2 linked regions of the Xenopus tropicalis genome follow. The protein of the gene in region 1 binds, or shares a complex with, the protein of each later gene. Links are inferred from orthologs where the notes say so. Each region holds a gene or a part of one and is shown in the gene's direction. Other genes may lie near its edges. The genes, in order: eif3d and eif3l.

The links.
Region 2: eif3d (region 1) and eif3l share a complex: the UniProt entries of both Homo sapiens proteins name them as parts of the eukaryotic translation initiation factor 3 (eIF-3) complex. The link is inferred for Xenopus tropicalis from reciprocal best matches to the Homo sapiens genes EIF3D and EIF3L.

Annotation. Positions count from the first base shown.
Region 1 is NC_030680.2:123,532,600-123,536,422, forward strand, and holds part of eif3d (eukaryotic translation initiation factor 3 subunit D), read left to right. Parts: intron 1-9; 5' UTR 10-19; coding exon 20-142; intron 143-1,526; coding exon 1,527-1,572; intron 1,573-2,801; coding exon 2,802-2,938; intron 2,939-3,187; coding exon 3,188-3,273; intron 3,274-3,350; coding exon 3,351-3,423; intron 3,424-3,507; coding exon 3,508-3,629; intron 3,630-3,823. UniProt on the Homo sapiens protein: mRNA cap-binding component of the eukaryotic translation initiation factor 3 (eIF-3) complex, a complex required for several steps in the initiation of protein synthesis of a specialized repertoire of mRNAs.
Region 2 is NC_030680.2:122,081,051-122,085,486, forward strand, and holds the start of eif3l (eukaryotic translation initiation factor 3 subunit L), read left to right. Parts: upstream 1-1,606; 5' UTR 1,607-1,663; coding exon 1,664-1,690; intron 1,691-3,316; coding exon 3,317-3,365; intron 3,366-4,436. UniProt on the Homo sapiens protein: Component of the eukaryotic translation initiation factor 3 (eIF-3) complex, which is required for several steps in the initiation of protein synthesis.

The DNA of each region.
Region 1 (3,823 bases):
TTCCTCCAGGCCTCACAACATGGCAAAGTTTCAGGCTCCAGTAATAAACGACAACCCATTGGGATGGGGCCCATGCGCTGTACCCGATCAGTTTAAAGATATGCCATACCAGCCCTTCAGCAAAGGAGACCGACTGGGCAAGGTACGTTTTATTCTTATCTTATAAATATTAATTTGTGTGAGATGGGAACCTAGTGTGTCAGTCTCTATTCTCTGGGGTGGGTTTTTGATTAAAGGGGTTGTTCACCTTTGAGCTAACTTTTAGTATAATGTAGAGAGTAATATTCTGAGACAATTTGCAATTGGTCTGCATTTTTTATTTGTAGTTATTTGACTTTTTGTTCAGCAGCTCTGGAGTTTCAGCAGCTATCTGGTTGCTAGGGTCCAAATTACCTTAGCAGCTAGGAGGCTAAATGAATAGGAGAGGACCCGAATAGAAAAACAAAAGTATAAGTTATAAAAAGTATCTGTTATTGATTGCTTTTTATGTTACTCTGTATGTCCAATGTATGAAACCCACTTATTGTACAGCGCTGCGGAATATGTTGGCGCTTTATAAATAAATGTAAATAATAATAAGTAACAATAAAAAAAAAACTGTAGCCTCACTGAACAATATTTTTTTGGCTGCTGGGGTCAGTTACCCCCATTTGAAAGCTGCAAAGGGTTAGAAGATAAAGGCACATAGATCAAAAACTATAAGAAATAATTAATGAAGACCAATTGAAAAGTTGCTTAGAAAAGGCAATTCTAACATACTAAAAGTTAACCGCCCCTTTAAAGGGAAACTATAACACCAAACAATGTTGGTCACTACAAAACTATATCCCATAAAACCATCCATATGTAAAATACTGTTTCATATAAATAAAGCCTTTTCATGAGAAATATACTTTGACACTATGTGCCATTGGGTAATCCCAAATAAAAAAAAAAACTGCCATGTCAAGTACTGAAGTCTGCCTTCTGGCTTATATGAGGGACTGCGCTCACATACAAACCAAGGGCGGGCAGACATACATGCTACATGTTACACTAGCCAATTTTTCTTTTACTCCCACACTCCTTCCTGTTAGAGTTGCTAACAGAACATCATAAAATGAATACTCAAAAGATATAAAATGCTAATATTTACTCTTTAGGCTAATGTTGCACACAACTGCAAAAGAAATGCCACTACAATTTCATACCACTGGTAAAGACTGCAATGGCCATTAAAGCAAACTGCCTGTCACTGATTAAAATAGGTTGGGTTTCAGCCTGAAACCTGCCTTCATGACATGCAGCTGCCAAATCAGCCGTAGTCTGTACTGGTGATTTTGGATGGTATTGGTCTTGTTTTTCCACTGGCAGACTTGTGTGCAAGGAAGGTAGCCTTACATTAGCCTTATAGAGCTTGCAATCTGTTCATAAGGTAAATAATTGACTGTGCTGAACAAATGAAAGAACATGAAAACAAATTGCTCCCATGATGTGCATGTCTTTCTCTCTAAGGCTCATGAGTATTTCTTGTTTTCACTGATAAGGTTGCAGACTGGACTGGGGCCACATATCAGGACAAGAGATATACCAGTAAGTGTGCTACTTTCCCATATCTTAACTGTGTGCTTGCTGATAAGCCAAGCTTAGAGCTTTTCTCCCACTTTCTTTAAACATTTCTTGACTTCTTATGATTATGCAGTGTGCTGCAAGCAGGTGGTTTCTTATTTGCTGTGCCTGAGTTACAATCCATTTGAGCAGTACTAGCGATTCAGCTTCACTGCAGTTCAGCACTGCTTATGGCAGGAAAGGACAAAGTGTATACACAGAGATCATTGCCAATGCTGTAACTTCAGTGAAGTTCAGAAGAAGTGGGCTAGAATCAAATCAACTCAGTCATATTGATTTATGAACTTTAAAACTGTATCAATCTCTTGTAAATTTTATTTGCCAGAAAATGTTGCGTTTGTAGGGTTTGCCCAGAGGTGTAAGTTGACCACTGTATTTGTGTGTTCAGGTTTTTTATTTTTTTTTTTTTATTGCTGCTGTCCACAGGAGATGTGGGATCACTGGTCTATCAGTCCTTTTAATTGGCTTTGATTTTTAAGTGAGGCATCTCCTCCTAGGGAACTGGAGCCTTGGTCAAAGCTCCCATTATGCCAAGATATTCTTTAGTTAATATTCAGATGTCATTAATGTGCCAAAAATGATGGACCACATTTTCTGGCCTTAGACCTCAAGATCCTAAACATCTACATAAGGACATCAAGGATGTTTAACTTCATGTTCTAATCTCACCCAATCGCAGTTGGTTTTTTTTATAGACCAAATCATCATCCAGTGGGGATAGAATAAAAAGTATTTAATGGAGATGATACACCTGTCATTTTTGACAGGGAACTATCTGTATGCTGGTGTCTGTATTCAGAGATTGTCGGGACTGGATGGTCCTGGGCAACTCAAACTAGATTGTCAGTGTACTAAGAAGATGTGCTGCTCCTGGCTGATTTTTATTGATCTGTTTTTTCCCACGAATACCTGGTTCTTTGATATTAAAGAACTGTTGTTTGCAAAGCCAGTTACTCTTTTTGGAGACTGGACTTGCTGAAACTGGGCTTTGTCAGGAATTGGTTATAAAGGCAGCCACCTATGGGTTAAAGGAATTGGCTGAAGGTGATCCAAGACTTCACAAAAATTATTGGTGTCATTTACCCTTTAATTTAATTTCTTTTTTATAATTTCTAAAGAATATTTCTTCCTTCCCACCTCTGCATTGTGCCAGTTTTTATTCTTGCTTAATCTTGATTCTTTTTCATTCCTAGATAAATACTCTTCCCAGTTTGGAGGTGGCAGCCAGTATGCATATTTCCATGATGAGGATGAAACAAGCTTTCAGCTCGTGGATACCACAAAGATGCAGAAGACTGCATACCAAAGGAACAGGCTGCGATTTGCACAGGTAATTAGGGAGGATTAAGTTAATTGTTATGCTTGTGGCAGTAAACTGATTTGTGTTACTTTATAATATTTGGCATCTGCAAAACCATGTTGAAGGCCTGATGGGCCTGTGCTAATATGATTACTATACTGTGACACACACAGGGTATTAGTAGCATGCTATCAGACATATAAACACCTTTAGGGGCATGATTACATAAGCACTTCATGCTGGAGATTATATTTTATATACTGTCTTCCATTCTTGCAGAGGAATCTCCGTCGGGACAAAGACAGGCGGAATATGCTGCAATTTAACATGCAGACACTGCCTAAGAGCGCCAAGCAGAAAGAGAGGTAAGTGACTTTTTGGCTACATGCTGTCATTTTTAGCTTCTACATCCTACGGTGTGACATGAGAATTCTAATTTCAGGGATCGCCTAAGACTTCAGAAGAAATTCCAGAAACAGTTTGGTGTACGTCAGAAGTGGGATCAGAAATCTCAGGTACTTGCCACAGCAGTGCTTGTTTTCTCTTAGGGGCTTTTAGTTACCTTTGTATGCTTCACATAGCGTATTCCTTTTTTGCAGGCCCAGTTGAAACCTCGTGATTCCTCTGTAGAGGTGCGGAGTGACTGGGAGGTAAAGGAGGAGATGGACTTCCCACGGCTGATGAAAATGCGATACATGGAGGTGTCTGATCCATTAGACATGTGAGTGATGACTGTGATTTATTCCTTGCCTCACTTTTCTTTCAACAAACCTGTCATTAACAGGGAATTTTATTTTAATTGTAGTGTCTTTTAGATGGCAGTATCCTAAGCAGCTTTGCAACTTATCTTTTTTGCTGGATTTGTATTAATTGGGTTTTCATTTTTCGAAGTGAAATCGTTTCTGCTTGTTAGGG
Region 2 (4,436 bases), about 1.5 Mb from region 1:
ATATTTGTTTTAACTGTCTGATTTATAATGACCATACCCCTGTTTGTGTCTATTGCTTTTAAAGCTCTGTGTACCCTTGTGGGGCTATATAAATACAATATAATCAATATATGATTGTGAACAATGTTCATATTACTAATGTTTATGTGGACCCAAAACAATTTCATTGTATGTTCCTGTAACTGCATATGAACTGACTGTGCAGTTCCCAATATTTTTCTCTTAATAAATCAGCTTCTTTCACTTTCCTTTATCTCCTTTGCACTGCTTTATGTGGGGAGACCAGGGTAACACATATCTATGGTGGCCACCTGGCCAGTAAAAAATGATGCCAATGTTATGAAAGGGTATCTATCACATACAAGTAACAGAGCCCACACTACAGATGGGGAAAATAAGTGACCCCCTCCCCCCCAAGCACTTGGTGGAAGCTCCCAGTGTGTATGGCCATGTTGGGGTAGATGCATATCTCCTATCTGTCTTAATTTTTATGGGACAGTCACAGTTAAGCACACAGCCTGCTGTCCTGGACTGTATTCTTATTCCCACACCTTGTGTCTCAACCCTTTCTCCTTGTAGATTGTTAGCTCTTTTGGGCAGAGCTCTCTTCACCTCTTGTATCGGTTATTGATTGCTTTATATGTTACTCTGTATGTCCAATGTATGAAACCCACTTATTGTACAGTGCTGCGGAATATGTTGGCGCTTTATAAATAAATGTTAATAATAATAAATTGTGCCACATGTCATGGCCAGCTATCAGCTCCCTGCTCTTCTAAACAAAATCCAAGATGCTTTGCCACTGTGGAATGCACCATTGTGGATTTTTTTTTCACAGTGGTTTAATAATCAGGAAGAGGGAGGCTGAAGAGTTATCTTACTGGCACATCTAGGGTTAATATGCACATTACCCATACCCACATCTGGGGTGTGTTTTGGTAAAATGGGTGTGTTTGCTTATGTGCATGTCCACAAAGTGAACAAAAAAATATTCCCAGCTTGGTCATAATTCACGTTTGTGACACAGGATCTGGGAATGGTTCAATAAATCCTATATCACACATATTTGTATAATACTAATACTTGTGTTAGCATAATATAGTTTCAGCTGTGTTGCTATAATTAAAAGAGAAACCCACAGATATTTTTTATATAAATTGAAAATAAAAGCAGTATTTGTTTGTCCCTCTCTGCACTGCTCGTTCAGACTCTTGGAACAGTAAAGGAAAAGCCCTGCTTCTTGAGCATGTCATTAAAAATGGCAGAAATGTAGCCCCAGTCTATAGGTTGTGCTGCTTCTTTGGAAGCATAATGTTTGTTTGTGACACATTGCTGTAGTTACCAGGCCAAGCTGAACACAAACAATTGCCACAAACCAAGGGCCTGTGGCTGCTGGGTGCCAAGTATAGGTGGCATAAAGAAGAACAGTTTTATGACGGTGTGCCTCCCTTCCACACAGAATATACCAGTTATAATTACAAGATCTCACTACATTTACTTTAGTAAGCGCGCGCTTCTCCAGCGCCATCTCTCGGCAGCGCTCATTAGTACGCCATGACGTTTTAGAAAGGCGCCGGAAGTCTCCCTTTTCTCTTCCTGTTTAAGTGTGTAGTGTGCGCTCCGCGGGTGCCGGTGTTCGGTGTCCTGTTCGCACGATATAACCATGTCCTACGCCAACGAAGAGTTTGAAGTGAGTAGCGTTGGCCTTTTGGCCCTGATTGCTTTGGGGTGCGGTGCATTGCACTATAGCTAGAGACGTTGCTGTGGGATATGATAGTTAGGGTTATAGGACTTCAATCCCTTGTGTTAAAAGAACAATGCCATAGTAATAATATGCACGTTATCTTTATTTGAGATTTTGTAATATGGCAGATTAGTTCTGAGGCTTCATGTTTGGTGGCAAGGTGGGACTATAAAATAAAGACGTGTGTTAGTGCTGAATCCCCTCCCTGCTATATATTCACATTAACGAATACCGGTTTTGCCACCCTTGTTAACACTGTCAGTAAGCCTAGTAGCCAGGTCAGTAATATACTGGCCAGATAGCAACTGTGAGCCTACATAGTGGGTTCCTGCTGTACACATGTATATATCAGAGCAGTAACACTTGTCTGTACTGCCCAGCCAGTCTAATGTATCACAAGCTGGCCCTGACTGCTAGTTATGGCTCTGTCCAACAGTATAGTGGCTTGCAATCTAACATGGGGCAGACTAGCTCCTTTGGCTTTCCCACTATCCTAGTGTAACCCCTTTTTGGCTATAATTAGACAAACTACGGCTATGGACAGAGCATGGGGTACATTGGGACTCTCAAAGGAATGGGCCTTCGCTATGTGAAAGGAATTGGGATGAACGGTGTTGTTGTACTACAACTCCCACTGGTACTGTGTAGTTTGTTAGTTCAAATTTAGAAAATGGATGCCAGGAGCTCTTGCAATCAAACTGTTAACTCTCTATTGTCCAAGACAGATGTTATAAGCACAGGGCTCAATCAATACTCAGAGACATGTAGATATAACAGAACCCACTGAGGATAGTAAAGGAGGGTACCACCGGTTTATCCCACCTCTTGGTAGAGTCTGGGCAGGGTAAAGTACCTGTCAGCTTGGCACCACTTTGGAAGGCAGTCTGGATAGTGAAGTCAATCCCCAGGTTGATAACCTTTAACTCTTGTGGGTCCTATGGCTGGGCAGAGATCAGGGTTTATACTAACCTGTATCCTGTCACTAGTCCGTGGCCCTAAGCTAAGGCAATATTGCCTAGTGGAGGAAATACTCCCAGGGCTGTCTTCTAGTTGGGGGCTGAGCTGCCCTTACTATATAGATCTAACTGAGCTCACTCCTCCTAGAGGATGCTATCACAAGAACTGCTATTCTGTCTACACCTCGTTCACGGGGCCCTGTCCCCGACTTCTCCAGATAGGATGTTGGTATCTGGGGTGATAATGGCTGTGCTGGGGCCTGTTGCTGTGCCCAGGCTCAGTGGAGCTGTTGTTGGATGACAGACAGAGAGCCAAAGAGGAAGCCACACCTCCTTGCTAGACACTATATGAGGCTACAAGGGGTGTGGACAACCATATGGGCCAATAAAGGATAAGATATACCTGTAAAATGTTACAAAGGCTTCTGCCCAGGGATATGTGAAGAGGTAGGGATATCACTCCATAGGGCATTTAACCCTATGGGTCCCTACACTAGCTTATTTCAATTTGCTATTTGTGACATAACTTGCATCTGTAAAAGTGCTTCAGCCTAACACAGATCGGCCAATTTATACTATCATCTTGCTCCATACTAACATTTTTATTTCTTTACAGGGTTCTTATGATCCATACAATTACCAGGCAGATTATGATATGCATACTGGTAGGTACATTTTTTGCACCTAGATTTATACATTTACTCTTTTTTTTCTTATTAAATATAGTTTTTGTAATTCTATGTTGTCATGCTATTGCAGTGAAATAGTTTTTTTTTTTTTGTGATTACAGACATCAGGCTTATTTGCAAAGTGATTCAAAGTGCAAGATGCACTTTTTTTGACACAAATATCATGCAACTACCATGGTTTTTTTAATCTATGATGCATTGTTTATTTTCCCTTTAAATTCTATTTTCATCCACTGCACCCATTAGGATGCACGCCCCACAATTTGGAAGCAATTTACTATCTGGTTTGACAGATTTGGCTGCAAGCTACAGTGACCATTTGGGACGGACATTATTCCTTCACTTCTGGCACATTGGTACTGGCTTATAAAGCCAACCCACTAGGGGAGGAAACCTTTTGTAAAGAGTGTTAAAGTGATACTGACATGAAAAAAAAACTACTTTTCAAAATATTAATGTTCATAAAAAGTAATATGTCATGTTGATCCTTTTTTACAGATAGGTTTGCATCTGTTAATAATTGTCACTTGAAGTTCCTAAACCTGACTTTTTTGCTAACCTGACTGTCTCTTCTCAGTCTGTCGGTTAAAGATTCTAGGCCTACTGCTGCACAAATATGGCAGCCCCTTCATAAAAGAACATAGGGGATCAGATAGGTAATGTGAAAGCATTGCGAAAATACCTTTATGTCAAAAATTCGAAGCTCAGGCAAAGATAATGTTATGATATATTAAAACAGCTTAATTTCTGGTGTCAGTTTTTCTTTATTGTGTGCTTAATTTTGTGTCCAAACTAGCACTTGCACTGTAAATGAGCCCTAGTAAAGGAGAAGAAAAGACTAATAAAGTGTTAATCTCACGCTGCAGGCATACCTTCAGTTTTCTCAATAGTGCCCTTAAGTCTCCCCATTTTTCGCCTGTTCAGATAATCAGAAACCTCATAGAAAAAAAAAAAAAAACCAGCTGAGCTCTGTAAACAAAATTCCCATAATGCCATGCTCCTGCACCAAGACCACTGTACATGTGCAGTTTGTAAGACTATCTTAAG